2 linked regions of the Macaca mulatta genome follow. Each later gene encodes a partner of the first gene's protein in a complex. Links are inferred from orthologs where the notes say so. Each region holds a gene or a part of one and is shown on either strand. Other genes may lie near its edges.

Evidence for each region.
Region 2: the proteins of ANKS6 (region 1) and ANKS3 are in contact, whole or in part, in a crystal structure (PDB 4NL9), measured with the Homo sapiens proteins. The link is inferred for Macaca mulatta from reciprocal best matches to the Homo sapiens genes ANKS6 and ANKS3. Residues at the interface, in NP_775822.3 of Homo sapiens: Glu796, Gln797, Glu798, Val799, Asp800, Glu802, Ala803, Thr806, Leu807, Asp811, Glu814, Leu815; in NP_597707.1 of Homo sapiens: Lys441, Tyr442, Thr470, Leu471, Phe472, Gly473, Pro474, Arg476, Lys477, Arg484.

The regions. Positions count from the first base shown.
Region 1 is NC_133420.1:59,611,355-59,615,753, reverse strand, and holds the start of ANKS6 (ankyrin repeat and SAM domain-containing protein 6), read right to left. Parts: upstream 3,084-4,399; 5' UTR 3,024-3,083; coding exon 2,665-3,023; intron 1-2,664.
Region 2 is NC_133425.1:5,973,399-5,977,206, forward strand, and holds part of ANKS3 (ankyrin repeat and SAM domain-containing protein 3), read right to left. Parts: intron 1,999-3,808; coding exon of another isoform or gene 1,931-1,998; coding exon 1,795-1,930; intron 1-1,794. UniProt on the Homo sapiens protein: May be involved in vasopressin signaling in the kidney.

The sequences.
Region 1 (4,399 bases):
TTAAAGAGCTGGCACACATTTTCCCCTCTCAAAGCACCGGGCTGAGAGTCCAGCTCTGCCCCACTGGCAGGCAGGAAACGAAGGGTAGGGAAGGAAGGTAAACACTATGCAACCCTGTCCCTAGGAGAGAAGTCTCGGGCAAATTTGGCAAGCCGCTTCCTCGCCACCAACATCAAGAGGGAAACTATCAGTTACAGGATTCATGGCTGGGAGCACAGGCTCTGGAGCCACCTCCCTAAGTGTGCATCTGTCTGGCGACTTGGTAGCTATGTGACTGAGGCAAGTTATTTAACTTCTCTGTTCCTCAATTCCTCATCTATGAAATGAGGATGACAAGAGTACCTCCTTCCTAAGGTTTTGTATAGATCGAATGAGTTAATTCATTTAAAGCACTTAGCACAGTGCTTGACTGAAAGTAGGTGCTCCATAAAGGTTACTTTTTTTTTTTTTGAGATGGAGTCTTGCTGTTGCCAGGCTGGAGTGCAGTCACAGGATCTCAGCTCACTGCAACCACCGCCTCCTGGGTTCAAGCGATTCTCCTGCCTCAGCCTCCCGAGTAGCTGGGACTACAGGCGCATGCCACCATGCCCACGCCACCACGCCCAGCTAATATTTGTATTTTTAGTAGAGACAGGGTTTCACTGTGTTGGCCAGGCTGGTCTTGATCTCCTGACCTCGTGATCTGCCCGCCTCGGCCTCCCAAAGTGCTGGGATTACAGGCGTGAGACACCGCACCCAGCCAAAGGTTACCTGTTATTTTAAGAACAGGAAAAAACACGGCGGAGCACGGTGACTCACATCTGTAATCGCAGCACTTTGGGAGGCTGAGGCAGGTGGATCACGAAATCAAGAGATCGAGACCAGCCTGGCCAACATGGTGAAACCCTGTCTCTACTAAAAATACAAAAATTAGCTGGGCAGGGTGGCACGGGCGTGGTGGCACGTGCCTCCCAGCTACTTGGGAGGCTGAGGCAGGAGAATCGCTTGAACCCGGGAGGTGGAGGTTGCAGTGAGTCGAGATCGCGCCGCTGTACTCCAGCCTGGTGACAGCGAGACTCTGTCTCAAAACAAAAAAAAAAAAAAGAAAGAAAAGAAAAAACACTAACGTCACCATTTCTAATACTAAAACACCCACAAGAGTCCAAAGGCACAGGGTGTCTGACAGTCTGGCCTGATGCACACAGAGAGCTGGGATGATAAATAGATGCTCGCTTAGACCCAGTGTGGTGGCTGCCAGGGGTGCGGTTTTGAGCAGGATTCTGGGGCATATCCAGATCCAAGGAAGAAGAGCACAAGGCTTGGAAAGTGTCAGCACATGGGCCATGCATTTGCTGACCCTGATATGAGGGACAGACACACTATACATCCTTCTGGAAGTCTTCCATACATACTACTCCTCAACTTGACCTTTTGGTATGAATTACGCAGCAGAAAGCCGGAGCACAACTCAACACAGGCAGAGATGCTACCTGAATATATAGTCGGTGTCACACCAACTGAGGAACAGCACATTTTAAAATACCCAGGCTCAGACTATCCTGCAGGACTTGGTTAAAACTGGTGATCAGGGGTCTCCGAGACACTCCGAGGCACGTTAGTGCTGCAGTCACAAACCTCACTCAGTAAATTCCTCAGCTCCCCCCTCCCCCCATTCCCTGGCAACCGCCTTCTCTCCAGGGGGGACTAGTACATCATTCTACTCATACATAATTCTACTAGTCCTACCAGCTCGTGCACCCAAGCCTTTGCATGGGCCTCCCATCATGCCCTTCCCACATCCCACTTGTTCTGTCCTGGCTAATTCTCAGGCATCCACGTGGAGGTTATCTCCACGTGGATATAAACATCATTTCTACCAGAAACCTTCCCCAACGTCTCCAAAATGGGTCAACTGCCCCCAGAGCTACTCAAACCTTTCCGGTCAAGCTCGTTCCTTTGCCTGGCCTGTCCACCACTGCCCTGGTGGTGACTCTGCCTGGTCTCGGAACATCCTCAACGCCAAGCCAGGAAGGGAAAGCAGGTTCTGAGGAAACCCTTACTGCAATGAGAAATGAATTAAATCAGGCTGGGCGCGGTGGCTCACGCCTGTAATCCCAGCACTTTGGGAGGCTGAGGCAGGCGGATCACAACGTCAGGAGATCAAGACCATCCTGGCTAACACGATGAAACCCCGCCTCTACTAAAATAATAATAATAATAATAATAATAATAATAATAATAATAAATAGCCGGGCGTGGTGGCGGGCGCCTGTAGTCCCAGCTACTCGGGAGGCTGAGGCAGAAGAATGGCATGGACCCGGGAGGAGGACCTTGTAGTGAGCTGAGATCGCGCCACTGCACTCCAGTCTGGGCGACAGAGCCAGACTCCATCTCAAAAAAAAAGAAAAAAAAAGAAATGAATTAAATCTCTAAGGTTCTAAGTCTCTACGATTCTGTTCGTTGTCTCCAGATTCTATTCTGAAAGGCCAAAGTTTCTAAGAATCTGATTTTATGTTAATACAAAAGTATTTCCATTTCTATGCTCAAAGTTTACCAAAGACTACTCAAAGTTTACCATCCCAACTCTAAAGAGTCCTTAACTCTTTACCTCCCGGGACATCTGGCCGCCGGGGAGATCCGGCCGCCCGGGGCCGCGTCCAGGGCCCCCGAGCCCCGCCGCCTCACCTGGCCGCCTGCATGAGCGCGCTCCAGCCGTAGTGGTTGCGGCTGTTGACCGAGGCACCGCGGCGCAGCAGGAAGCGCACCAGCGGTTCGTGGCCCCCGGCCGCGGCGAACTGCAGTGCGGTGTTGCCCGCCTCGTCCGAGCAGTCCACGGGCACCGGAGCCCCGACTGCCGCCGCTGCTGCGGCCCCGGGCCCGGCCGCCTCGGCCCCCACCGGCTCCGCGCCCGCTTCCGGCTCCGCGCCGCGCTCGGCTGGCTCCGCTGCCCCCGGCTCCAGCAGCCGCCGCGCGGTCTCCGTGTCGCCCTGGTCACACGCGCGCAGCAGCAGCTGGAAGGCCGGGGGCAGCCCGCCCTCGCCCATCGCCGTAGCCACGCGCGGCCCGCGCCCGTCCGCCCTGCCGGCCGCGTCGGCTCCGCCCCCGGATACCGCCCGCCGGCGCCCCCTTCCGGCCGCCCGCCCGCGCCGCGCGCCTACTGTGTGCTAGGAGCTCGCCGGGGCCGGGGCCGCGCGCCTACTGTGTGCCGGGAGCGCGCTGGAGCCGGGGCCGCGCGCCTACTTTGTGCCGGGAGCGCGCCAAGGCCAGGACTGCGCACCTCCAGTGCCCGCACTTGGGAGTCCAGGGAAGCTCAGAGGAGACCCCGCTGCAGGCCCGCGTGTCCCCTTCTGCCTCTTCGGCGCCCGCTCGCTGCCCTGTCCCGGAGCTCCAGAGACTTCCTGCCAGGGCAGAGGTGGGAGCGGCGACCCCATCCCCTCTTCACGCTGCGGCCAGGGCCCTGGGCCCGAGTCTGAGTCCGCAGCTGCATGGCCCTTGACTTTACTAGCGGGCTCCGCTGACCCCACCCCAGCCTCTGGCACTGAACCTGCGCTTCCAGAATAAGGAAGCGGCTGAATTAAGGAACGAGCGGGTTTATTGTTTCCTCACAGTGTCCTGCAGTGCCCTTAATGCCCCTCCTTCATCTGGGCCGGGCTGCTGGGGCTACAAGCGCCTCCTGTACCTTTTCTCTCTCTTTTATTTCAACTTTTATTATAGATTAAAGGGTACACGTGCAGGTTTGTTACATGGGTACACTGCGCGACGCTGAGGCTTGGAGTCCCAACGATCCCGTCACCCAGGCAGTAAGCATAATACCCACCAAGAGGTTCTTCAGCCTAGAGTTCCCTCTATCCCTCCCTGGTTAGCGATCCCCAGCGTTTATTGTTCCCATCTTTGTGTCCATGTGTACTCAATGTTTAGCTCCCACTTATAAGTGAGAACATGCAGTATTTGGTTTTCTGTTCTTGTTAGGTCGCTTAGGATAATGGCCTCCAGCTCCATCCATGTTGCTGCAAAGGACATGATTTCGTTCATTCTTATGGCTTCATAGTATTCCGTAGTATTCCATCTTATTCCATCGTGTATATGCACCACATTTCTTTCCTTCCTTCCCTCTCTTACCTCCCTCCCTCCCTACCTATCCCGCTTCCTCCCTATCACCCTTCCTCCCTCCCTCTCTTTCTCTCTCTCTCTGTCTTGCTCTGTCACCCAGGCTGGAGTGCAATCGTGCAATCTCTACTCACTGCAACCTCTGCCTCCAAGGCTTAAGCAATCCTCCCACCTCAGTCTCCCGAGTAGCTAGGACTACAGGCGAGTGCCACCACACCCAGCTAATTTTTTGTATTTTTGGTCGAGACAGGGTTTCACCATGTTGCCCGGCTGGTCTCAAACTCCTGAGCTCAAGTGATTCGCCCGCTGTGGC
Region 2 (3,808 bases), on another chromosome or scaffold:
GGTGCATGACTGTGATCCCAGCTACTTGGGAGGCTGAGGCAGGAGAATCGCTTGAACCCAGGAGGCAGAGGTTGCAGTGAGCTGAGATCTTGCCACTGCACTCCAGCCTGGGCAACACAGCAAGACTCCATTTCAAAAACAAAAAAAAAGAAGAAAGAAAACTATAGACCAATATCACTTATGACTAAGTATCCATTGAGAAATACTAAATATTAATAAACAGAATTCAAAAACACATTAAAATAATACAACATGTGTGATTTATGCCAAGAATGTAAAGTTGATTCGTTATTAGGAGGTTCATGAAGACAAGCTACCATATGAAAATTCACAGTCGTCTCCAAAGATAAGGAAACAAAATTCAATAGTTACTCCAGTAAAACACCACTCAAGAATACAAGAACTGATGAATACTTTGTTAATATGGTAAAATAACATATGCCTTCGCTCTCACATAATGAGGCGTTTCCACTAAGATCAGGACCAAGGTGAGGAGGCGCACAGTCTCCACTATACTGAACAACGGGCTAGAGGTGTCAGCAACTAAACAAAGAACAATGCAATTCAACAAAGTCAGAGTCATAAGAATCAGCAGGTAGCAGTGTATTCATCGATACTTAAAGATTATATGTTAGTACACCTGTAAAGCCCTAAAGAATCAGTAACAAAACTAACCTGAACAATACAAGAATTCTGTAAGGTAGCAGAATATAAAATTAGTTTGCAGGGCCGGGCGCAGTGGCTCACACCTGTAATCCCAGCACTGTGGAAGGCCGAGGCTGGTGGATCACCTGAGGTCACGAGTTTGAGACCAGCCTGACCAACATGGAGAAATCCCATCTCTACTAAAAATACAAAAAATTAGCCACGCATGGCGATGCACGCCTGTAATCCCAGCTACTTTGGAGGCTGAGGCAGGAGAATTGCTTGAACCTGGAAGGCGGAGGCTGCGGTGAGGCGAGATTGCACCACTGCACTCCAGCCTGAGCAACAAGAGCGAAACTCCCATCTCAAAAAAAAAAAAAGTTTGCAGAAATCCACTGCCTTCAAATGCACTGACAATATGCAGTTAAACGATATAATGACACCACTAAAGAACTTATTCACATATCCAACCACCACCTGTTCCCCAAAAACCTACTGAAATAAAAAATAAATAGCACTGAATAATTAATACCCTGAGATTTGGGGGAAAAAAAGGGGTATAATGGTAGGGAAAATCCCATTACAATAGGAAAAAAGATGATCAAACACTTAGGAACAAACTAGTCATATGCAAAATATAGATGAAGAAAAATTTAAAACCCTCCTGCAAGACCCAAAAGTACACTGGAACAAGAAGACATCCCTTGTTCTTAGACAGGACAACTCAACACCACAAAGATAGAGTTAATTCATACACTGTCACAATCTCCATAAAAGTATCAAGCTGTTTTTAAGGAGCTAGACAAGTTGATATTCAAGTTCATACAGAAAAATGAATAAGCCATAGCCCAGGAAACGGTGAAAACAGAAAACTAAGGGGGCCTGCCGCGACTCGGTAGTCAAGCATACTACAGAAAGCCTCTACAGTCACGACAGCCTGGTTTTGTGCCACTCTCCATCATAACCATCCTTCTCTCCTGTTAGAGCAGCGGCCTCAACCTTGACATGGAAGCAGCTGGGGGAGGCAAAGCCAAATCTCAGAGGAGAAGGTGGGAGCCGGGGAAGAGGGGGACATCTTTCTCTGCCAGGTCACCTGAAGCTGAAGACAACCAGAGACCCCAGCAGGGCACGGCTGGCAGGTGTGGGTACCTGGGCTCCGATAGAGGCTCTTGGGCAGAGAGGGCGAGTGAGTGTCCATCAAGGCCACGATCTTCATGTGTCCGTACTGCTTGGCCAGCATCCGGGCTGTGGCTCCACTGTGGTCTCTCGCATCCACCTTGACTCCCTGCGAATGTCCGTGAAAGGGGGTTAGGAGCCTCTCCTTCAAAGTGCCTGCCGTTCCTGGGCTGCTGGCTGGGAAGAGAAGGGCATATGCTGGTTTCTGGCTGCCTCCCTGCACGGGAAACGCCACATCTGCATGAGAAAAAGGCGGGCTTGTCTGCATCGTAGCCACAAGTTTTGCTCTCACTCTCTTTTTAGTGACAAGCATGAGGGGGGCTTGGGTTGGGGAGTCATCTCCCAGCTGTGGCAGCTCTCGGCTTCCCACTGCTGCCCGCCACACTCATGACCTCCCTTGCAGTGGGCTGGCAGCCACCATGGGGAGAGCCCAGCCTTCACCTTCTGCGCCTAGGCTGTGTCCCACTCGCTTTGCTTGTCTTCACTCAAAGAAAGCTGGAGACAGCAGTTCACAATGAAAGCAGCCTTTTTAACCAGTCAGAATGAAAGCACCATCCTCTGAAGCAGAATTCATCACTTTGATCAAAAGCTCTATCATGTATTTACAGGTCTTGTGGTGCAGCAATTCCACTTCCATGACTCTAAGGAAATAACCCTAAATACAGAGAAAGCTTTAGTGTGCAAAGGCGTTTGGCACAGGCCGGGTACGGTGGTTCACACCTGTAATCCCAGCACTTTGGGAGGCCGAGGTGGGCAGATCACAAGGTCAGGAGATCGAAACCATCCTGGCCAACATGGTGAAACCCCTTCTACTAAAAATACAAAAAATTAACTGGTGTGGTGGCGAATGCCTAAAGTCCCAGCTACTCGGGAGGCTGAGGCAGGAGAATCACTTGAACCCGGGAAGCAGACGGAGGTTGCAGTGAGCCGAGATCGTGCCACTGCACTGCTCCAGCCTGATGACAGAGTGAGACTCTGTCTCAAAAAAAAAAAAAAGTTTGGCATAACATATTCACAATAATGAAAACCTACCTAGAGACAACTTGAATGCTCAGGGGGACAAGGAGCCAGTTACGTTATTGCCATAGATGATGAGATTTACAAACGGCTGTATGATCAAGTTAAAAAAGGATCATGGCCAAGTGAGGTGGCTCATGCCTGTAATCCTAATATTTGGGAGGCCAAGGCAGGTGGATCGCTCGAGCTCAGGAGTTGGAGAACAACCTGGGCAACACAGTGTGACCCCACCTCTACAAGAAAAAACAACAAACTATAATCAATACAGCATGTTTCTGGTGTTGCTCTATACCGTAACTGTCCTGCTCTCCTGTTAGTCCAGGCAGCGGGGGTAGGCAGGGAAGCCAGAGCCAAATCCCAGAGGAGGAGGTGGGACCCCAGAAAGGGGGAGCATCTTTAATAAAAACGAGCAGGGTATGGCGGCACACGCCTGTGGTCCCAGCTACTCAGGAGGCTGAGGCGGGAGGATCCCTTAAGTCCCAGAGGTGGATGCTGCAGCGAGCTGAGATCGCGCCACTGCACTCCAGCCTGAGCAATAGGGCAAGACCTTGTCTCAAAAAAAATAAAAAAGGATCATGGTACAAAACTACATATACATTACAACTCCTGCAAAACGAGACAAAAAATAAAAGTACACAGAAAACAGTATTGGACGGTAACATACCCAAAAGGTTGCTATTTTTAAGTTATTTATTATTTTTGATGGAGATTTTTCCAATTGTCCAATCTTCTATGTTTTTAAAATGTACTATCATAAGCATGTTTGCTTTTTTTTTTTTTTTTTGAGATAGGATCTTGCTCTGTTACCCAGGCTGAAGTACAATGGCGCCTAAGGAAATAATGCAGGACATACACTACAATTTAGAATTTTCACTGTGGCATTCAGCATAGTAAGAATCAGAAAGAATCTAGAATAAGAGATTAGTGAGCTACGTGAGAGCATATCCAGAAAACAGAGTGCGCCCCGCCC